3 linked regions of the Styela clava genome follow. The protein of the gene in region 2 purifies or fractionates together with the protein of the main gene of each other region. This does not show direct contact. Links are inferred from orthologs where the notes say so. Each region holds a gene or a part of one and is shown on either strand. Other genes may lie near its edges. The genes, in order: bifunctional polynucleotide phosphatase/kinase-like, DNA ligase 3-like and aprataxin-like.

Region 1 (8,394 bases), on a different chromosome or scaffold from region 2:
CACTTTTTGGATCAAATTCAGGCATGTTGAATTTAACAGGCTTTTGTGAAAGAAAATATTCCTCGGGAGTTTTGAAATCAATTTCCAAATTCATAGCAAATAATCTATCAGTACACGAAAAATCTTTTTTCTTTTTTGGAGCCCAATCTTTTGGGCGGCCAGCTGCATCTCCGACATAATAACTATGAGACATATCAATCGGTATTCCCCCATTACCTTGTTTTGCCAGCCAAGTCCATGTTCCAATGTTAGGTTTTCGAGACGGACCCTTTTTCGTAATTGCTATCACCTGAGCTTTAATACCAAGCTTTCCCAAAATGTTTTCGACTTTGGTTTTGAAATCCTTTGGTTGAAGTTTACCTTTCCCAATCCCCAGTTGGTTGGTTATTATCACTATTTTATATTGGTCATTTTGAAGCTTTTTCAATTTTCCTGGTACTTCGGCGTAAAGTATCTTCCAATCATTATGATCTTTTGCAAATGTCCTACCCGATGCTGTTGTTATTATTGTACCATCCATATCAAATGCTGCTATTTTTGATGAATTATACAACTGCGGAGAATGATAAATTAATAAGCCTTCTTTTTCTTCCCAACCAACTGGATAGTCAGATTTTATCCATCCTCTAAATACATTTTTCTCTCTACCACCATCTTTTGATTTTTCTGTTTTCACAATGGATAGACTTTTGCTTTGTAAAAATTTGAGCTTTTCCGCAACTTTATTTTCATCATCACTCTGATCATCCGATACCTCATCTTCATTTACCATTTTGGCTTTTTTTGGTATTGGTGTTTCCGTTTTGGATTCTGAAGAACTAGGCCCAAAATATGAGTCGATTGTTCGTTTTTCAGCTGTTGTTTTTTGCGTTTTAATAATTTCATGTGGATATTGTTGAACAACAAAATAGAAAATATCACCAACTTTTAACTTCTTCTCGTGTCCTTTTGCAATCTCTTGTTGACCAATCATAGACGGGTTAGTTCCAAGATGTTTCAAAGTGACGCTTTCTTTTTCATAGTTTGCTGTTAATTCAACTTGCTTTCTTGAACAAATTTTCTCAATGATTTTAGTTTGTGGACTTCTTCCTAGTATGACAGGAACACCATTTGGTAATGGAATAGGTTCGTGTCTATCATTACAGCACCTCAATTGAAGCATTATACAGAATTATCTATGACCCTATAATGAGAGAGTGATAATAATTTATTTCCGAATTTATCATCAATGTACACATTGCAGTAAAAAGAATAAACAGTAATCATGAAATATAATCGCAAAGGGGCGGGTAAGACTGCAAGGTTAACAAGATCGACCGACCCCTAAAGAAAATTCTTATTAGGATGAGGCACGCAATCAATTACAATTATTTGTTCATAGCCTATAAGGTCAACAAAAGTTATGTTTTTTTTATGTTTAACTCGTATTATTGCATTCCATCAAGAGCTCAATTGAAACATATTATGTCATTATTATTGTAGTGAAAAAATATTTTTTAAATTTAAGCCTGTTAACCCTTTCCAGGCGGTGGGCACGTATACGTACCAACGACAAAACTCGCTAGATCACGGCGGGTACTTCAAGTTACCCATAGTTTTATTTAGCAATCGGTCGCAAATTGTTGGTCTAGTTTATCCGGGTTTTAGTTTATTGATAAGAAGTCTTCTTCGAGATTAACATAAGCGACGATAAATCTCGCTTTTGTTTACAACGGGAATTTTATTTGCGGCGGAACGAGGGAGTGATTTTGAAATTTATGCAAATTTCTGTGTTTTTTGGGTGGTAATAGAAGACATATTATCCCTTCCATCTACCAAAGGATTTTGAGTTAGATCACGAAATTGCTACAGCAATATTATGCTATTGTTTGCCAACCACGAAGCGGTAACAGTAAAGGGTTTAGCTAATATTTCTATTTTTTTATCACGGTTTGAAGTTTCAACTCCCAAGAAAAAAAAATGCCCTTTTTCTATCCGGTTTGTGACTCAGACCACCACATTTTAAAAAACTTTTTTTTTTAATCGCCAACTGCAAGCTCTTTAAATAAGCTTTCTAACGAGTCGTCAGTGGGCAGCAGAGGATCATTAGTTTTTCATTAGTCGATCGATTAGTTGTGGGGGTACAAATGCATAAAATCAGCGTAGCAAATACGATTATTTAATAAAAAATAAAAATCGCATTGAAAGGGTTAACGAGCCCTCAAAAAATTCAATTCCTTTTTATAAACATAAGAGTTCAGGCACTTTTTCAGGCACATTAATTTTTTTTTTCTTTTTTTTTTCGTAGTTCATTGGGGTTAAGTTTTATTAGACCTTGAATGAAATTGTACATTAAAAAAATGCAATTTTTCAATTTAATAAGGTATAATTAATTTTTCAATAGTAAAATATGGCAACACTCAATACAAAAAGAGGCACTCGTGAAACTTCAGGCACTTTGTAAATACCTAGATATGTCCTAATGTTAATGATTACTTTAAAGCAGAAAAATCAAAAATAAAGAAAGCAGAAATGATGGAAATTATGTTTTTTCAAAGTGCCTGAAATTTCAAGAGTGCTTGATTTTCTGCTCAGGGTTGCCATATTTTACCATTGGCAAATTGATTATAGTCTGCCTCATAAAGTTGGGAAGTTTGATCCTACTTATACAACCATATATTATTGTTCCATGCGATATAGAAATGCACATGTTTATTCAAGAGACCGAAATCTTAATAAACTACTGAAAAAAAAATCATAGTGCCCACAATGGTGTCTAAAAAAATATTACTGTTTTAGGGAGCCCCGAGGAAAGGCGATGACACGTTTAACAACCCTATTGAGTGCGAATTATTTATAGAAAAAATAAAACAGTTATACAAACCATTAAATATACATATGAAATCCAATGTTGACAATCCAGTATGAAATTTTCTCTAACCGGCCAGCACCTGAATCAGCAAATGCTGAAATGTCAACGTCCGGACATCACAATGATCATTGCGCCATCTTTCGTAAGGTGTTCGAGTAACAATGTAAAAAAAAAAATATTACAAATCTCATTCTGTCGTGCTGATTTTGGAGTCGAAATAAACTTATACTGTACTAGTAATAAATGCGAATCTTTTCCCGGTAAATCATAACGACATAGGTCAATTCCGTTGACAACGGGAATTCCCCTACTGTGTATGATGTGCCGGTACTGCTCTTTAGCGCCTCACAATTTACATATTGTTCGGTTTTGTCCGCCTGTCTTGTGTGTTCATTGTCTGTTCGCTACAAATCATATTTCTGTATTTCTGGAGCATAATTGTGCAGCTCGTCATCAAAATGCAAGAGCACGTTAACCAAAAAGGACCTGGTTTTGTTGGAATCAAATTTTGTCAAGAATGGTGAGTTTACAATGTCTAAATCTTTTCCCAGTTCCTACAGTTTAGTCTGTTAGTTGGGTTGTGTGTAAGCGTTGGCATATTGGGTCTGGAATAGTTTAGTACTACATGCACTTCTAGTTGGCCTGGCTCAACAATTTTTGCATATGTCATTTCTAACCCCCACCTGACTACGTCACCAGAAAATCACGTCCTTGCGAATTCACAGTGGCGTAATAAGGCCCACCAAAGTATGAGGATGGTCGTCCAAAACGTGCAGACAATCACTCGAAATCGAGCAATCCATTTTTCTCGTCGCAATGATCACGATATGAGAGAGTTCGTCGGCGCTAGCAAGTTTGTTATCTGAGGCGCAGATGCCATTTCGGGCGATCGTAGTTATGCTTTGGCAAGCTCTGATGATGACTTCCTAATGACGTAATTTTTGGATGGCATATTCAGGTGGGGATTAGGAATACTATATGCAAAATTCGTTTTGATACGCCACCTGCTTTGAAGTGGATAAAAAATTTTTACATACAGACATATGCAAATACACTCAAATGAACCACATCTGACGGTGGTTGGCTTTGTCATTTGCAATTTCTGAGATCAGGAGATATAATTCTATGCTTTTCAAATGATGAATACAGACATATATTAGTGCGTCTCATTAAATTGTTACTAAATTAATATTACAACTTTTTAGCAACAACATGCTCTATCCAAAAGAAGACAAGCAGAACAGAATTCTACTCTACTCAGTGAGATAAGCTAATGAATAGAATATAGATATAGGATAATTCTTTTCGAACTACCTATGTCCGTGTACTCCTTACTTGAAATGAATATTATTATTTAACCCAGTAGATGAAGTTGCACTTGCACATTCCCAAACTTTTTTGGGCATGAACCATTTTTGAAATGAAATGAATCGCAGCCGACTCAAGACATGAAAATTATACAAACGTTGATTTTACCAAGTTTGTTTATTATTTGAGATTATTACATACGATAAATACCATTTAGAAGTTAATGTTTTTTCAAACCCCTAAGCTTTGTGCTTATTGCTTTTTTTTCCTGATATCTTCGCAACCTCGACAAGGTTCAAGGCTCAACAAGGCTTTTATGTACGAGTCCACGGTCCTGGGGTTGGGAATCACTGAGTAAACATTCTGGTTTTACAATGTGCACCTGAAATTGTTTGTTTAATATCCCACAAAATCAAGAAATCATATCAGTTGTTAATGATTTTTGAAGAAGTTTAGTTCAAGTTTTATATTTAACTGAGCCTTATGTTCTCTTTCAGTGTCGTAACTGTGACTTTCAAATGGAAGCTGACAATGCATGTATTTATGTAAATAAGATTGTCCATGAAGTTGATGAATTAACACAAATCATTGCTGATGTAGCACAAGATCCAACTTTGCCACGAACAAAGGATCATTCATGTCCCAAGTTAGTTTATAGTTACAATGTATATTTCAAATTTTTTTTCTTATAATTACCGTGTTTTTGATTGGATTAGATCCATCGATCATAAGGTAGGCTTTTATACATCTTTATGAATGTCATAGCATATCTTGCAGATCTGCTGTTCATCTAATAATTAGGATTTATTATCAGATATGCAGAAATGGTACGTATCTATACGTAGATGCGATAAGTTGTACAATCTAACAATAATTCTGTATCACAGTTTGTTACTGCCTACCAACCTATTTTCTGCCAGGTGTTTTATGGAAAAGAAATTCAATTGTCTGATTTTCCAATGCTTGTGGTATTAAAATGTGGGAGGGAGCATCTGCTTGTATCAAAACAAGCTCGAAGCTATCATTGCTAAATAAATGAGTCAAGACCAAATTTAATTGCAGAAGATTTGTGGTGTTTTGTAAGCCGTGAAAGATTTTAGTTTCGAACCAGCTCACAAAAAAATATTTATACAAATTTGTTTGTAAGCGGATAATGCTTTATTAGGTTCAAGTTTATGGTCTAAAGTTGTCATCAGAAGAAAAAAACAGTAGAAAGATAATACTCTTGTGATAGTTATGGCTAGGCAACTAAAGTTGATGAGAGACCTGATTATTCTTTCACTTTGCTTCTATCCTTTTCCATTTTATATTTTTCAGATGTCAGCATAAAGAAGCTGTATTCTTCCAATCTCAATCAACAAGAGCAGAGGAAGGCATGAGACTTTATTTTGTTTGCACAAACCCACAATGTGGTCATCGATGGACTCAATTGTAATCTATTCCATCAAATTGTGCAATACTTGAATGCAATCATACATCGATACATGCACAAGGTGAATGAAACATCTTTTGGTCATCAAAACGACCAACATGAATCCATGAGGACCTCTCACTAATAAGAACTGACAAAGCCTATGGAATCGGACAGGGTTGTGTGCTTGTTGCTAAAGATTTTGTGTTACTATTTTTACCAGCTTTTTTCATTAACAAACCAAATCTTTGTTGCAAGCTCTACACCTATAAGCTCTTGTATATTGACATTTATTATGGTATGTTTCACCAAATTTTTAGGAAATATATGCTAGGAATCCCATATCAAATAGGTACGCAATGTTGATGAACGATGATTCAACCATATAACTGCTCCATTGAACGAAATCTATAAGTTATAAAGACTTTCATTATGCATGTTATTGTGAATACTTGTAGTAGAACCCGTTTGCTACAAAGGTAAAATTCGTCTTTAAATTTCAAAAATACAATGAATAAACTTTTTCTATTAAATGATTGGGCGGGCATGTGATGCCAGAACAGATGAGAAAACAAATGCGGTAGAGTTGTGTACATTCTAGCCAAAATAGTTGATTTGAAATATATAGCGGGATGAGCATGGCATTAATTGTTAAAGATTCAAGCCCAAACCTGTTCCTCTGGTGCATGATTCTCTAGAACTGTGACTTGAAACCGACTGTTCACACCGAAAGTGTTGGGACCCCTTATAAAAACCAGTCAATTGTGTACAAATAGTCCCTAACATAAACAATGCTTCACATTCAAAGTGCACTCAAAATTGGAGGATAATGGAGATTCGTGTGAAAGCGCCGAATACCCTTTTCAACTGGCTCAAACGGGCCAAATAAACTATGATAGGTCAAGAGTTGCCCTTAATTTGTTCTGTTATGTTATCCTGGACCACAAGAACATGTTCTCATTTGACTATTTTTTCAATCTTAGCATACAAAGCGCATGGGTCACAATCTTCTTGTGACATCTCCGTGTTCCTGAAGTTGCCATGCACTGCTTTTATCTGTGAGGGTGTATTCTAGAATTTTTGCATTCACTTACACATCCAAGAACTAATAATGTTGCAGAAAGTATAGTCAGGCTATCGCATTGTGCGAAGCTTAGGAATATGCATGTCACCACACACCACACCTCTGACTACCTTGAGTGGGTTCGAATCCCATAGGAATAAATATGTGTGAGCTCACAGCTTCTCCTGCCATCAACTCCATGCATTTGACACAAGAAGCTGGTTAACTATTTACGGACACTGATTGGTTACAGGATCACTGTAATTTGCCATACTACCGAACCTGCACGATCCATACAATTGCACAAACTTATTGCCCTTTTCAGTTTTTATTGAAATATTTTCAGCAATGAAATCTAATGGTAGTTTTAGCGACAGTTAACGCATCAAAATCAAAAAGAATGTAACAGTTGCAAGCAAATAATATTAGCATACATGGTTTCAATTTAACTACAGATAAATCAGATGGAAACCGAAAATATGAACCATCTTTGTATTAAAATTATTTAGTACGAGATGTTAAAATAATCATAGCTTTACCCTGTTGTATTAGTAATTAGATATGGGTTATTAAAGCAACAAAAAAATCAACACAGGATTGAATAAGTGATTATGAGAATCATTGAACATATCGACATCTAGCTAATTCAACACAACTAGACTAAGAACAACCAATTTTTTAAGCAAAACAAGCATAAATTTCAGTTAAGAGGGAATGTTTATTCTTAAAAGCAATGTAAGGTATTGGAATAGGCCATAGAAACTGATATAATAGCAAGAAAAAAAGTCATTCAATTTTTTAATTATAAGTGGAATACTTCACCTCATTTACATGAAAATTTTAATACAATCCAGAAATTCATCATATACTTAATAAAACTTCAAGAATCATCCCATAAAGCACGAAAAATTTGTTAGTAATTTAAATTCAGCCTGAAGGATAATTTTTTATTATCTATATAGAGCAGTGAAAACTATTGGGTTAGTAATAAAGGTCAATTTTAAATTTTACTCCCTATGGAAACACAAAAAGTTTACTAAGCCTTTTCAACAATCAGGCTATGACAGAAGCCATGCATGCACAAAAGTTTTTATTATTCTAGTCAAACTTTTACAAACTGGGGAGTCGAAGTCAAAATTGTTTTAACCCAGAGTCTGAAATCTATTGTGGTATTTCCCAGCCGCATGAATGCTTCCCTTGCCGCTAATTTATAGACGGTCAATACAGTTTTTCATGAAGTGTCATATTTTCTAATGATGAATTTCTGAAAGTACAGGCAATATATAATAAGTCTGGTATTAACATTCTTTTATATTCAGTATTATATTAATAATGTATTTATTGGAAAAAAAATGTAGATTATATGTGAAAGCAAAAAAACAACAGAAAAATTCGCTTGAAATACCATGAAACTTAACAATAACAAAAAATAATTACTGTTTTGCTACACGGAGCTAAGGTAAAGATGACAATGACTTATTTCACAGAGGGTCGTGGTGGATTAAACACGGTGAACAAAATACATCTGATTGGAAGCTAAAAAAAAAGTGAACTATACGTAGGTACTGACACTCAACCTATTTCAATGCATCGATATGATCTATATATTCTGGTAATATCCCCTAATAAATAAAATTTAAGTTCAAAACTACTTAAATATGGCTTTTAGGGCCCAACTAATTGATATGAAGCATACTAATCCAAAAGCTACACTTGATATTAAACAGATAAATTTTAAGCCTCCATATGTAGAATGGTAAA
Region 2 (8,034 bases):
CCATAAAGTTGTTGATAGGAAAATATAACAATATATACCGTAATCAAAAAATAATGTATTGAAAATTTTATGAATAAATATGACAATGTTGGGTTTCCATGGACCTAAAAATAAATCTTTTACTCGAGCGATAATTTTTTTTGACATAACCGAACCTAAATGCAGTATATATGTCTTACTCATTTTAACTGGAGAAGGTGCTTTAGCAGGTTTTTGTTTCTTCGGTGTTGCTTTCTTTCCTCCACCACGAGGTGACTTGGCCTGCTTTTCAGCTTGTTTTGCACATAATTCTGTAGGTTGGAATAAAACAATGCTACATGTGAAGGACCAGTTGACCAAGTTTTGTGATTATCGTTATATCAGATAAATATGAGTTGACTTGAAAGTCACAATATGTTTATGTGGGGATAATATTCTTGTGAGAAGTAGGTAAATGAAAATAATGGTGTGGTTAAAATGCTTAGTATGTTGGCGTCATATGCGACACAAATCTTTGATTCTATCCCCATGCCAACCATCCTAACTAAAAGTGTAATAGATTCGGTATGATAAACCAAACAAAATTTTCTAAAAAATAAATGTGCCAGAATTCTTCGGATTCGGTCCCATCTCACAAAGGGGGAGAGATAGAAATATATTGGTCTAAGTCACTTTCCACAGTCCGGCTTTATTCCGGAGGAGAAATTTCCCCCTTTTTTCCAAATCACCCGAAGAGCCTGATTTGAACCGCAGGCCGTGGTTTGCCCATGTCAGATTTATAACATTCATGTACCAATACATTTCCGTATCTTAAGACCATATAACAAAAATTCTGTTATCAGTCATTACCTGCAATCAATTTCTTTATTTGATTTTTCTCATCATCTTCCATGTCTGCGAAACCCTCCAAGTCACTCGGATCTTCAATTTTCTTGGTGGTTGCTCGTGCTCGAGAGAATACCTAAGCAATGGGAAAATACACTTTTGACTATAGTGAAATATGTATCAAAGCTCACACAAAAGAATATCAAGTTATTCAGTTGAAATTAAAGCAATGTTGAAGTTTCCGTAAATTGAGTTTGAAACATTCATATATTTGATGACAGTTGCATATTCTGTGGAATGGGAATTGACTACATTAAAAAAGTGGAAACTAGGGTAGTAAAAGTCATAAGTATCAGATATTGACATGTAGGACACAGGGGGTATGAATTAAATTATAACCAAGATGAGTGCGCTTATGAACAAAAGTGTTTCAATGACCAAATGATTTGAATCACAGCACTCAAGAGCTAAATAGGCCCGGTATAGACTGTGTTTTGAATTTGGATGGGTACGAAAGTTTGATCAAGTACCAGTACTACTTGGATTGAGTGTATAACGTAGAATTCATTGTCAAATTAATGTCGTATATGTGTTTACTTACAAATGATATGAACTTTGAGTAGAAACTAATGCAGATAAACGTGTCATTTCATGGTTTTAGAAAAATAATGACTCGAGTCATAGCTTTTCTTCTCATTAATTTAACTTAATTCTTGAAACACTAATAACATAAATAATTTAAAGTGCACTAAAAACATAAAAATTACATTGTAATGAACCAACTGGTGATTCCACTTCAATACTATTTGTCTTCTACCGTAACATAAAACAAGTATGCTATAAATAGCAGCATATGCACATGCCAGGTGAAATGAGACGATTCCGACTACTCACGGTTCAATGATTTATATAGAAGTAGAAAAGACATTAATGTATCACAAACCTCAAACATGCAGTTTATATGATGATACATTTTCATTTCGCCGTCCCCATCGTTGAAAAAATTAGGAGTAACCTTGGCGATTCTGGCAACTCCTTTGTCTATTGGCTGTTTGCACTTTTTGCAATTCGCTTTTCGTTTCGCATAATCACATGTGAATCTGTTAAATATATTATGAATAGGTGAAGAGTTGAAACTGACATAATCAATTGCTGTGCAGGGAATTAATAACGCTGAAAAATAGTCTTTACTGATAGCAAACCTTATGGCACATTGGGCAATTTTGCTATGCATTAGGTACATATTTGTCATTAATTACTATAGGGGTTATCACAATTGAATTGTGCGAGTTGATGGGGGTAACTACATGTAGGATAATTGGGTCTCTCGAAGTACTTGCGTACTTCGGCTGGCTCCTGGCTCAACAATTTTTGAATACGTCATTCCTAACCCCCACCTGACTATGCTATCGAAAATTACATCACTGCGTCACATAATAAAGCCCCTCTAAGCACTTATGGGCACATACTCAGACTTCTGGAGACCCAGATAATTGCTGGGTTCGTTGAGTTAGTTCAAATAGCTGCTAGTGGACAATTTTTTCCAACATCCAAGTGGCCCGTTCAAGCAAGAACTATTTCTGTACTTTCATATAGAAAGACCGAGCCCACCAAAGAGACATTTATTAGTTTTATTTTTCGTTGGTGAACTAGTATGGAGAATGATGCTTAATACAGTAATAGGATTTAATGGTACAATGGTATAAGATGAACACTATGAGATATGTGCTCCACGGCAAAAATTAGCACACTATGCCAAAATAGCCCTGCAAATGCACCGACATTCAGAGTGAACGGGCTCGATAAATCGCAACAAAGTAGGACTGTAAGATGAATGCATTTGAAAGTTACCTTGTAGAATCAGACATGATGTTGGGAACAGTCAGAAAATTGAATCTTTGCCAAATATGTGATCTGAAATCAGGAAATAGAAAATTTGAAAATATTAACAATATGATATAAAAACGCAGAATGGAAATTTTGGTCCACGAAGTCAATTTTAACTGAGATGTAGAATTCTGAAATAGCGAACTACGGTACCAATAATAAATTTGAATATAGTAAAATCAGGAATAGGTATCTGGACGAAGGACTTTTCTTAGCTATTACCGATACCCGGTTACAACTATCGGTACCATAACAGAGATTAAGTCATTTTTTAATCAAAATCCTGCAATTTGTCTGTGCAGAAATTTGGCTGTGCCTGTACACACGTTTGGACGTAGCATCAGCTCATTACTTTAGATACAAAAACATCCCTCATTCAGTTATTTTTGCAAATTTACCTTATCTTTTAACTGTCAGAAACCAGCATGAGGCCCACAAAACTTGAAATAAGTTCATAACGTATTAGACGAGTTCACTCAATGAGGAGGAAAGAAACCAAATCACAACAAACAAATATGAACATAAACGATTGGTCATTATTCGGGCGTCTAACTTCATAATCAAATTACATGAAATTACTTACAAACAATGTAGTGAATAGCGGCTGTGCGTGTGATGAGTGAGACGGGATTCATAAAACGATATAGACAAGTGTGGAAGTGTATAAGATCAGGAGATAAAGTGTATTAAAGTGTTGCAGCATTGCAAACTAGCAATTTACAAAGCAACGCCACCTACCTTTGAATGCACGCATTGACTAAACAGCAACGCTGAAAACTGGAAGAAGCGAATCAGCTATCATCATTGAGGTCAATGGCTTTTATACGTTTGCGTTTGTTGGTTTGTTTTGAACACGTGACGCCGAAAATATTGCGCCACGATGTTGCGCCACCAAAGTGTACTATGCCTTCCTTACATCTACTTGTTGAAATATGGCTGATGACTCGGTCTTGGATTCATTTTGAAATGAATACTACCGTGCTTCCCAAAAAATAAGACCTAGCCTGGATTTTAAAAATGACCTCTATGTAAGCTTTTCCTTACAATAGGACCTAGTCGATAGCGGAATTTTATTTTGGCCTCGTCAATAAGCAAGAAATCTCTCCTACACGTTTTAAAATTTAAAAGAATAATCTAAACCGCATGAGAGAAAAAAGCGTGGTATTTATAAGTAAATGGATATCGGTTTTAATAATTTGTTTATCCGAAAATCTCGTGTTATTTCCCCGAAGAAAATTGAAATAATACCCTGGGAAAACGGTAAATTATTTAAATTGATTAAAATAAGTCCAAATTATAGAAGGAATAAACACGAGGGCGTGTGGAGCACTAGAGGCTTTTGGCTTAGAAATGTGAGGTCACTGTAGTTGAATATATATATATTCACTTTGGTACCGACCGCCGTCGCATGCGGACGTGGCTACCTCGAGCCGAAGATATGCATTCGAGAAGTGAATCTCAGACTAAGTGACATCAATAAACAAATAACAGAAATAGCAGATTTTTGAATGATGGACTGAAAAAATGTGCAACATGGGTGCAAAATGGAAGATTTTTAAATATATTATGAAAATAAGTTCGGACGAAATTATGCTCTGCTCAAATATGTGACCGGATTAGGGTTGCCACTTCTGGATACATTTTTTTTCGAATCGAATCTCGAATCAAAACTTTTCGAATCGAATCTTTCCGAATCTGATTCCATTAAGCTTTTTTTTTTTTATTACATGCGTATGTTTGGCCAAACTCACAAAAAAGCTCAAATCTAGAAGAAAAAAATTTGAAAATGGAATAGGCTATATAGCAAGGGTGATGAGGGTTTTTCAGTGAACAAGCCACACTTATTTTCATCATGATAAAAAGATGTAGGTCATAGATATCACTAATAAATGCATTGATGAAAAACTTGCTGTTGCAACTTATCTGTGAGTCTTACAATACTGAGTTATTGTGTTATACTTGTATCAGGGCTGAGGCAATTTGATGGAATTCATATAAGAAAATAAGCAGGGAACAGTTGTACTGTTATGTCGTAAACACAGTAACATCACTGCTTTCCCTTGTCCCACACCAGTATATGTGACCGTGGTATTTCCCTTCTTGTTATATTGAATCAGGGACGGCCTTATTACCGATTCTTTATCTTCAAAATCTTAGTACAATATTTTATATTTATGCTAGCAGCATAGAGTAATACGACAAAAACATTCTAATTGCATCTGAATTACTATAAATGGGAAATGCTTACAAGAATATGATTGAAGACGATAAAATTAACCACGATTAAATTAAATTAATTTCGATAAAAACAATCGTTCATCCGACTACGATTGCGAACAAAAATTTCCATAAATATTAGAGACAGTATTATTTGTGGCAAACAGCGTTATTGGCTAACTCGGGCTTCATTATTAATGTGGACTACGTTTAATTTCGTAATTCAGAAAGTCCAAATGTGCATAATGGACGCCGCGCTGACGAGCGATAATTGGTTGACGCTTTATCTCGATCAAACATGGTCGCTGGGGCTAAAGTAAGACGACATTCGCACCGTATGCTCGGTCTGGTATGAAATCTGCCACGTGTTGATGTAAAACAGTGCACAAGTTGCCATTCCTCAAGTATTATTTACTCCCACCTGTCCGTTATGACATTTGCTCGAAATAATCCGAAATGTTTTATCCGCTTGTATCGCGCTAACAAAATTAAAAGTAAATACTATTTTTTTTTGGTAACAGCTGGAAAAAGACGTGTATGTACTATTACATTATGTCCCCCTGATTTCGTTTACCGCCACTCGAGTGGAAGCCTGACAAACGCAAACAAAATAAAAATATATTTTAGGATGAGATACATGATTGTAAATTAACATTGCCGGCCGATGAACTCATTCAGCAATAGTTCTCTTCAAATGTACGCGAAATATTGCTCTCAGAACAAAGTTTAAATTAAATTTCAATCAAAATTAAACATTATCTAGACGTCGGTAGCCGATTCTTTATCCAATCATGCCAGGGCGTACAATAACTTAGTGGCAGCGCAGGTGTGCTGTTGAAAATTTTCATCAAAATTGTCACGAATTTCCAGGTATACGATCCATTTGAATTCGCGCATAATGGGAACTTCGGCTATTTAGTGGAAAACTGAACTCGCAGTTTGCTGGTAATTACGCCACACATCATCTCGAGTGATGCGTAAAAGAGTGTGTTGTGTCGAACTTGAAACAAATGACGGCAGACAAGTAAAAAAGTCAATCACGAAAAATTCATTTTCATTTATTTACGTCCCGTAATTTGTTGCTATTTGGAGTGCCGCATAAACGCATTCGGCAGTTTAAACGCCACCGAAAACAACGATTAACAAATATTCAATGTTATTCTTTCGGTCCCGTAATTTGGTGGTATTTGGAGTGCTGCATAAACGCATTCGGTAGTTTTAACACCGCCGAAAACAACGATTAACACACGTTCAATGTTTTTTTTTCGGTCCCGTAATTTGGCGTTATTTGGAGCGCCGCATAAACACACTCTGGCAGATTTAAAGCCGCCGAAAACGACGATTTAACAAACGTTCAATGTTTTTTTTTCGCTAAATCGCTCTCTTTTTCCGAATCGCGTAAATCTGATTCGAATCGATTCGGAAAAGATGCGATTCGAATCGATCCGATTCGTAAATCCGAAAGTGGCATCCCTAGACCGGATATACAAAAGTTAAACTGCACGAACTGATATTTGAAAATTTACATTCAATTTTTACATCGGTATGTTAACGTTTTAGTGGATTTTACTAGATATATGTTTAAGCATGGAACGGAAACATGCATTCGCACCTCATTCTAGGATTTTTCGGGTTGTTTGTTTACATGCCGCATCCCACGCACAGCGGATATTTAATTCAATGTTTTGTTTTTTGAAAAAATTCCACGCAACCTGATTACCAAGTGACACGCGTGGGTAATGACCGCCGTCAATATTCATGTTTATTTGTTTGTGTTTATGACTTGTTTTCTTTCTTCTTTAGTAAGTGAACGCGTTTTATACGTTTTAAACTTATTTTATTGGGTTTTGTTCACTTTCCAGATTATTCGTCTTAATCTTTTGTGTATATATGTTTATTTTGTTTTATCGAATGAATCGAAATAAAATCTTATCTTATATATTTCAAGTTCTGTGACACAGTAGACTACTGGTTGCGATGTCATAAAAACGTGGAAGACAGCCATCACGATGTCCTAAAAACGTGTTCCCGGAATTAAAAATTATGCAATACATTTTAGATGAAATATCAGATTTAGGACCAAATAAAAGTAATAGCCTTCTAGCGAAAAATATAATCTTTACCCAATGAAATTTTAAATCATTTGGTAATAACGATAAGAGGGAAATTTTTAACAAAACAAAACGATCCATGGGTCCACTATCGTGTTTCCCGGAAATTAAGACCTACCCTGAATTTTAGAAATGATTTTACTATAAGCAATGAGCATATATACAATGAGTGGAAACTTGCAAAGATTTGCTCATTGTGGCATTGTTCCCTGCATTTTTACGTCGTCCAGCTAAATGGTTCGTTGCATATTAAGAAAACGCATTGCTCGCTGCCAAAATCCCTTGCTTCAGCTCAGTCGGGTGCGAAATTGGCCGTATTAACTTGACTTGAGGTCTTTAATTCTTCAATACATATTTGATTTTGGGTTTCGAAGTATGGTACGCTGAAAGCATACAACTATGAGCATATTGGGAATGCATATCTATTAGACAGGAAACGTATCTACAGAACAGAATATGAACCAGTCGCCGAGAGGAGTGCGGTTATTTATGTATTTATTAATTGATATAACATGGGAATTACATATTTATCCAAGGGGAGAGGAAAGCCGAAAAGAAGGCCTAAATATATGGCGAACCACGGCCTCTCTCAATCATAGCTCTGTGCTCCATATGAATCACATGGTTCTGTGAGCTATTCGTTTACTTATTAAAAATACTGATTTTAACTATAAATTACTCTGGGATATCTTGCCATTGAAAACAAAAGCCAGAAATTGGAAGAAAAGCAGGGAATGAAATGTGTGTATTATGTAATGGAGAACCTGAGTTTGTTTCACATATTTTCATGTATTGTGAATTTACTAAAAATATTTATGAGGATTTTGTTTTAGTTATATTAAAATTGATCAGAATACATTTTGTTATCAATATGATTCTTGCATATTATTTAATTTTAACGATTCTTTATATAGTCGTATAGATACTGTTGATTCGGATGCAATTATACTTTTGTAATCAATAGTGAGAAATATTTCATGACTGCTATTAACTATGTGAGCTATTTTTTCTGCAA
Region 3 (8,047 bases), on a different chromosome or scaffold from region 2:
GGGCAGGCAAATAACCGTCATATAGACAATATTTGAATCAGAAAAATAAAGCATAGTGTCATTATGCTTTGTAAATGAAGAGAAAAGACTAAAATGTTACTATTGGCGGAAAAACGGACATTCTAGATCGAGGTGGGCACGATTTTTAGATCAGGGAACAAAAATTTTGCCCACCGAGACTGGCGGGCCATGTAAGTATGACGTAAAGAGTTACATTTTATGAACAATGTTCACAGTGTTACAAAAGCAACAGTGGAAAACAATGAACCACGTGCCAAAATTTATCCGCAATCTTAACAAATCCCTTGACCTATTTTTAACTAAATCATCAAAATTTGGTTCCAGTTAAGTTGTGGCAGCATCAGGCGGGCCAGATTGAATTACCCAGTTGGCCGGATTTGACCCGCGAGTCGTAATCTGCACATGTCTGTTCTAGATACTAAAATTTTCATGTGAATATAGCCATTATGCATCTCATTTATTATTTATACAGAAAAAGAGGAAGCAGGCTTGAATCAGAAATCACAAAAGAGACGGAAGATGTTGAAATGCAAGAAATGTCTCCTCTGAACCAAGAGAACAAAAGCACAGAAGATTGCGAAGATGGTTTTCCAAATACAAACAGAAGTCCCAATGAAGATGAAAACATTTTGGAAAATATTGCTAATGAAAAGAATACATCGAATGCTTCCAGTGAATGTGGATCAGTTTTTGACTCAGACAATATTGATCAAATTGGAATAGAATTAGAAATAGGTGAGTATATACAATAAAAATGTTAATAAAAGATACAAAAATTAAACATATAAATACTAGTCTGTCTGTATTTGAACATATTATACTTGAGTCGCGAGATTTTACTAAATCTATTTTTTTGAAAATTTGGGTCGCTTGAAAAAAAAGGTTGGAAACTTATATATCAACATTTATTTATTCTTTTATTCTTCTGTATTGCAATGTATAATTGACAAACCATTCGAATTTCAGGGTCCTTGCAGAACGAAAGAATGGGCAGCTCACAATATAAAAACGTCAGTGACACGGCATCAATGGGTAATGATACAAGTTACCATGACGATATGGATACAGCATTGTGATTAATTAAATATTAGAAAATGTATGAAACAGTAGTGAAAACCTGAAAATGACATCATAGACACAAAATCAAGTCATGATGTATTGAATATTTAGGATTAAACTTGGTTTAGAGACAATGTTTTAATTATAAGTCGAATTATATATATAAGTTTCAATATGAGCTATGATGAGAGAGTGTCTGTAAAATTCCACCACTCAAAAACACACCCATAAATTCCTCTCAAAACTCCTCATTCAACTGGGTTAATATGTTAAATTTTGTCAGAGTTCAAATAATTCATGGTTGAAAATTTCTGCAAGGAAATTTCCTAACAACGATGAGAAGATGATTCAGAGGGGGTTTCAGCAGAAAGATGATTCACTTTTATCTCGAGAGCGAGTGTGTTAGACTTCACTTTGAGCAAATTCTTTTGAAAATTGGTATACAGACAAAGTTTTCTTGCTTATATAAGTTGTAATATATTTCTCATCAATTTTTCATAGATTAGCTGTGTTTTCTGCGTTTATGCTAATTTTCAGTTTTGTGGAGCAGCCTCCAGTACCCTGTGTATTTTGTACACAGTGTGACAGAGTATTGAATAGAAATCTGCAATGGATTTTTACCATATGCAAATTATGAATTCAGACTTTAGTTCGCAATATAATATTAGCATCAACATACCTTTGGATATTTATCTTTGATGACAACAACTTTATCATCTTTGGAAACTCTCAAACTAGGATCATCCATTGATCCTTTCAAACCTTGACTCCAATGATAGGAAGGTTTTTGTGCTGAATTATTTTTATTATTTGAATTTGTTTCGTTTTCTTCATCGGAAATATTTTTCGCTACTTTTTCAGTCATTTTTTGTCGTTTGCTGAATGTGTTTTCCTCCTGAGGTAGTTTTGTTTTCTTGGTATTGGAAGATGTAGTTCCTGAATAAATATTATAGAACATAAGAGTTTCGATGTGGTTTCTTTGAAATTATTGGAGAAATAAATTTACATTGGGATATGAGTACAGGTCACTGTTTTTGGGACAAGAATTGTTTTTCGTCATTATCACGGTAAACTCTGGATAAATCAATATCAAAAACCTACATTAATCGAATATTATGATTTCCTAAACAGCGTTAGTTATTTAAAATTCTACTACTATTTGCGTAAACACTTTTTTTGCGCTCATCAAGGTACTGTCTTTTACCCAACATTTTTCTAAATTTAAAAAAATTCCATCCTCACCCCATATTTTCAGCAATCTAGTTTATTGAACAACGTATGCTACTGGTAAAACCTTCATGTCCTTATAATAGTGCATTTCTCTCTAATAATAATAAATTCACTATATGATAGAAAATGAAACCTGAATTAGGGATACATATAGCAATCTTGTGAGGATATTTCATATCAACGACGTGTAACGTTTGTCCTGCATGAAGTCTGTCAGTTTTTCTATGTCCGATATCAATCCCTTCTATCTGAGATGCATTACTGCCAAGTTGCTTGACCATAACATATCTAATGTTCAAAAATAACAAATTTAGTGATGCCAATAAAATCACTCTAGAAAAGTGGTTTTCAAGACAACATTTTAAATAATTAAACATATTTTAAAAACGTCTTATAAAGTCTCAATAAACATTGATCATATACTTGACACATTTTCAACAGAAATATTTTTACAAACCAATTTGACAGGGCAAGAAAACACAATAGCGGACAATCTATATTTGAAACAAGTTAGAATCAAATGTTTCCGTCTAAATGACCATTTTTCAAATAAGCATATATTCCAAATATAAATCTATAGGTACCTCAAAAATACCTGTATGGCCTGATACAGATTTCATAAACATTGGCAAATAAAAAAGTCTCTTTATACACAAAAGAAAGTATATTCAAATAACGTCAATAATAATTTCACAAAACATAAATATATCAGTATCTATAACAGCAAAAATATAACACATTCCTACCTACTTTTGATTGTAATTTGCAACCAATTCCAACTGATTTCTTGAACACAATTTATCAGGTATTTTAGTCTCTGCTGATCTCCCAACGATGACTGGCGAACCGTCTGGTAGAAGTATCGGAGCATGTGTTGAATTGCAACATTGAAAATACATTGAGAAAGATAGAGATAAAGCAATGTGGTAATTCCTATTAAAAAAAATAAGAAGTTCCAACTTGAAATGCATTTGCAAATAGTAAATCTCAAAACAACAAATTTCATATCTTTGTATTTTAGATTTTGACATTGTAAAGAGCATTTTGAACCATATAGAATAGATAGAACAAAACAGCATCAATCACAACTTAGGTAAGGAAGTTATTCGGTAAAATTCAATTGAAAAAGTGATGAATTTTTGCACGGCTCTATATGAAAAGATTTTGTGTGAAATGGCAGGAATTATGTTTTATATTATTAAATCTTTATATTGAAAAATTTAGACAAAGTTTGTTCAACTCACAAAAAAACTTTGTGAGTTGAATAAAACATTGGCGGCATTAGAAGTTTATTAACATATACTTTAAGACTAGTAAAGCCTTGTGAAAATGGAACATCACATACGTTGAACGACAAAATCCTTAAGAGTTAAATAGGCTAGCTGTTCTTTTACGAGAGATTTTTTTAAGTAAAACATTTCTTTACTACAGTATGAAAGATTCATAAATATGTCAGAATTTAAACCATTACAAACATTTTGAGGCCATTGTTAAGTATTATTTATTGTCACAAAATATAAATTCCAAGCTATCTAACGCTCTCATATAATCCTACGGTAATTTTTATTTTCATATTTTGTGAGGAGCTCAATTGTTTCAAATTGTCTGTCATACTTTAGTATTTGCGAGTATTTTATAGCAAAAATTAGTCTTGTTCTTTCTTAACAACATGAGCACAATCAAGTGCTCCTCTAATAACTTTATGGTGAACTCCGACTAAATCCTTACGTCCTTTTCCTTCGATGAGAACAACGTTATTTTCTTGTAAATTATGTCCTTCGCCGGGTATATAAGCAATGATTTCTTTTCCGGTACTTAACCGTACTTTGCAACATTTTCTATTCGCACTGTTTGGTTTTTTCGGCTTTTTAATTAAAAGTCTTAAAACAACGCCTTTTATTTGTGGCTTTCCATCCATTCTTGATTTTTTCTTTTTCTTGGCTATTATGTCCAACATTTTTCCTGTTTTCATGTATAAATCAGCATGATAAAAGTTTCGATATCTGCCTTCCCATTTGAAATCAATTGCAGATGAGTGGAAGTCCTTAGAAGGCTGAGTTAAGAAGGTGGTTAATACAGCTTGGCTTTGATTCACCAGTAAACCATTGTATGTGTTTGTTAGGCAAGTATTATTCACTTGATGAAGACATCCAGTGAGCAATGTATTTTTCAATCTGATCAAGTTTTTGAACGCCATAAGTTGGCAAGTTCAGAAGTTAGATTTTCATGTAAATTAAGACTTGAAAACTATTTGAAATAAATATAATCATTTGTTTCCAGATGCAGTGAGAAAGCATGATGAACACTGACTAGCTACGGTATAGATTTTGCGTAAATAGTAATTGATCCCAATTTCTTTTTTTTTTAATTTGCAGCTGCGCGAAACTCCCAGAAACACTTTTGAACAAGAGACTTTTTCACCTTTGTGGTGCAACATACTGTTATAAGCCTACTCCAAATGTACAAAATTTTTACATATCTATGTTTGGTGTTGTACAGATGTATGAATGTGATGTAGGTAACCGAAGTCTGTAAGCTGGTACGTACCCAAGGCCAAGTGAGTGTCGGGTCTACAAAAATAAATCTCTCTCTTTCTCGATTTGTCAAAAAATACTTTATTACACAATAAACTTAAACATCATGCTATCAATATCAACAAAACATATTCACACCATCCTCCAAGACCAAACCAAAAATTAGCTGCACGAGACAAACAAATGATGAAAAGATTTCACTTCGTACTGCGCGCTTGTCATCAGTGACCAAAAATCGTGATTTGTAATTCACGATTCTTTACTGTCATCTTGCGTATGAGTAAAAGTCTGGTGTTTCAGAGAATTAAATATTGCACAACATGTGCAAAAGAAAACACGCGACTGAAAAACGCTGGTGCAGCAGGCTATTTCAATATTTGTATATAGGCTATTATATTGTATTCTGATCGTTTTCATTCTACACATCTGATATTCAGTTAGGCAGCGTCAAATTGTTTTAGAAAAGAATCCTTGTTGTTGTTGGCCAACCCTTTAGTACAGTATTACGGTATGGAGGGGCAGTTTGATGATTTGGACCAGGCGGAGGAATATTTGCAAATGATGACAAAAACTAGTAAGTTCATTCATCTTTTTTGCATTCAGTCATAATAATAAATAAGTATCATAATCTAAGTCGCTGGTATCACGTAAAGCTAGTAAAGTGAATTTTTCTATATTTTTCATTGTAACTTTTATTAGGATAGGATAGGATTTACATATTTATCCCGGGGGAGAGGAAAGCCGATAAGACGGCTTATCCACATGGCGAACCACGGCCTCTCGTCCGGTTAGCATTCCAAGTCGGGTATGGGATTAGTTTTAATGTATTTTATTTTATTTTTTTCGGAAGCATGGACTTGGTGGTGGAGGAAGCCGTAACCGACCAGCGGTTACGTGAACCACCCAACGACGGCGAGGAGTCCAGCAATCCTCTCGCACATAACCATCCCTGCATGGGATTCGAACCTGCGAACCCACGCAGAGTAATTAGAGGTGCGGTGGCGAGCGTATTCCTAACGCTTAGCCCGTTGAGCCACACCGCTGCGCCAATTATTATTTCAGTATTTCTATTTTTACTCATCATCATCTTTCTGTTATTACGGTACTCTATTATTGTTTTTTTTTCCTTCGCTGTTTCATTCACATTCTTCAATGACTGTTTTGTAATCTACCCCAAATTCAGAAATTTTAACATTTCAATCAGCAAGTTGATTCACATACAAGAGTACAATGTGTTATAATCAAATTAAAATGAGCAATAGCTAGAATAGTCTTATCAATTTTTGTCATAATACTAGTAATAATACTGCACTTTGAAAAACATTGTTTTACATTATGTTTTTGTCCATGCATCTGAAACAAATATGACTGGCTAACTAATACCATACCTACCTGACATGGACCTGTAGCTGGCTGAGCGGCCGTGGTTTGCCATATGATTAATCCAGGATGATTATGTAAATCCTATCCTCTCTTTGACATACTATTTCAATTTGAGCCGACTCTACATCATTCTTGTGTAGATCAGTTGAGTAATGTATAGAACTTTCTCATAAACAACATTTTGTCGTTTGTCTATCAGCAGTCAAGATATGTCATTTTGGAGATTGTTGGATTTTTGTGTATTTTCAATGTGTGTCTTTTAACCGCGTTTGAAAATTACCATATCGGTGTGTCACCATGTATGAAGCCCATTATTTTATTGCGTCTCTTATACAATTAACTATTTATGTAATGCTTTATTTTAAGATCCTATTCAAGAAGGATGTATCGATTCAAATACAAACATAGCAGATGATGATGACAATTGGAGTGATGATAACTATATGGAAATGGATGAAATATATACAGAAAATTGCAGAGGAAACGGCGCCAAGTATTCCTCCAACCAATCTTATCAAGTAGGATGTGATCATTTATTATTTTGCCACAAGCACATGTATAGCTTCAGGAAGAGATCATTTGAATGGCGATTCACTGAATGTCTGAGGGACAGGCTTATTAATTTCAGTTATTTCTCTAACTATATTGGTTTAAATCTGACGATGTCCAAGTCGAATTGAATATTCCAATTAATTTGAAATAAATGATATTTAAAATTTTATTTTTAGAGAATAATAATTTTATTTTGGGAATATTATAGGCCTAGTTAGTTTTATCTGAAAACCCATCATTTTGAGCAATTGAAATATTATAGTATGACCAAAAAGACATTGAATTTTTTGAATTCTACAACAAAAAACGTAGAACCACTAAAATCACTGTTTATCTTAACCCTTCTGTATTTTCAAATTTAAACTCATTTGAATATCCATTAACTTCGAAAGTAGAGGACCCAATTAACGTCAATATTCCAAATTCGAAAATATTATATCAGAATGTATTCAGGATAGTGAATTTTCGAATTTTGGCCATCCCTCTTTAGAACCAATAGTTGAAATAAAATAGAGTGCTCAGCAAAGTATAAACTTCTTGTTGTTTTTTAGCCTGTGGATAAAATGTTATCAAAATTTTCTGACAAGATTCATCTTGATGCATATGAGCATCCTAGTATTCCGCAACATAATCTCGCACAAGTTCGACAAATGGATAAAAGAATGGTTGAAAACAAGTAAATTTATTCAAAAACTTTCTCTCATTCTCATATCTTATTCCTTTTAAATCAAAGAACTGGGAGGTGCCTGGAAGATTTAAATTTAATGTTCTTTCAAAATGATCAATTTTCAGGAATTCCATTAATTAATATTATTAACTAATATTATTAATTAATATTAATTCACTAATTTTTCAGTGAAATAGTGAGTTTTGTTGAAAACTATTGAATACCATGGTGATGCTGTAACATAACTTTGCTTTCATGAATCATGACCCCCTTTCAAAGACTACAATGTGGCCCTTTTTTCTATAAAAATACCTTTATTTAATGTGCTTCTATCATTTGTTTTATGCGCCATGGTAGGTAATAAAAAAAATTGTTTTTGGGAAGTAAGGCGTCATGTGGTACTTGGTTTGATTCTTAATAACAGTGTATGTGATTTTTTTCTTTTAGCAAATATTGGATAATCAATATCAAAATGTTATGTTGAATCACCAATTTTCACCAATACCAATTTTCAAGTTTATTTACTGCAACCAATAATTTTCAGAAATCGAGTAAAAGACAAATCGGATCGAGCAACTATTGAACAAGTCATGGATCCAAG

Evidence for each region.
Region 1: the proteins of DNA ligase 3-like (region 2) and bifunctional polynucleotide phosphatase/kinase-like purify together in Homo sapiens (co-immunoprecipitation; 5 studies listed by BioGRID and IntAct, with this or other methods). This does not show direct contact. The link is inferred for Styela clava from reciprocal best matches to the Homo sapiens genes LIG3 and PNKP.
Region 3: the proteins of DNA ligase 3-like (region 2) and aprataxin-like purify together in Homo sapiens (affinity purification with mass spectrometry; 3 studies listed by BioGRID and IntAct, with this or other methods). This does not show direct contact. The link is inferred for Styela clava from reciprocal best matches to the Homo sapiens genes LIG3 and APTX.

Annotation. Positions count from the first base shown.
Region 1 is NC_135258.1:17,042,295-17,050,688, reverse strand, and holds the start of bifunctional polynucleotide phosphatase/kinase-like, read right to left. Parts: upstream 3,065-8,394; 5' UTR 2,864-3,064; intron 1,184-2,863; 5' UTR 1,163-1,183; coding exon 1-1,162. Other genes in the region: DNA-directed RNA polymerase II subunit RPB9-like, read left to right, coding at 3,310-3,371, 4,057-4,111, 4,657-4,805, 5,477-5,594. UniProt on the Homo sapiens protein: Plays a key role in the repair of DNA damage, functioning as part of both the non-homologous end-joining (NHEJ) and base excision repair (BER) pathways.
Region 2 is NC_135256.1:5,970,108-5,978,141, reverse strand, and holds the start of DNA ligase 3-like, read right to left. Parts: upstream 3,508-8,034; 5' UTR 3,430-3,507; intron 2,719-3,429; 5' UTR 2,673-2,718; coding exon 2,656-2,672; intron 1,905-2,655; coding exon 1,748-1,904; intron 941-1,747; coding exon 829-940; intron 291-828; coding exon 180-290; intron 1-179. UniProt on the Homo sapiens protein: Isoform 3 functions as a heterodimer with DNA-repair protein XRCC1 in the nucleus and can correct defective DNA strand-break repair and sister chromatid exchange following treatment with ionizing radiation and alkylating agents.
Region 3 is NC_135264.1:11,770,988-11,779,034, forward strand, and holds the start of aprataxin-like, read right to left. Parts: upstream 3,390-8,047; coding exon 3,061-3,389; intron 2,599-3,060; coding exon 2,444-2,598; intron 2,017-2,443; coding exon 1,760-2,016; intron 1,754-1,759; exon of another isoform or gene 1,098-1,753; coding exon of another isoform or gene 988-1,097; intron 757-987; coding exon of another isoform or gene 494-756; intron 1-493. Other genes in the region: uncharacterized protein LOC120333828, read left to right, coding at 494-756, 988-1,097; small ribosomal subunit protein uS12-like, read right to left, coding at 3,956-4,507; serine/threonine-protein kinase RIO1-like, read left to right, coding at 5,355-5,418, 6,594-6,745, 7,331-7,455, 7,991-8,047. UniProt on the Homo sapiens protein: DNA-binding protein involved in single-strand DNA break repair, double-strand DNA break repair and base excision repair.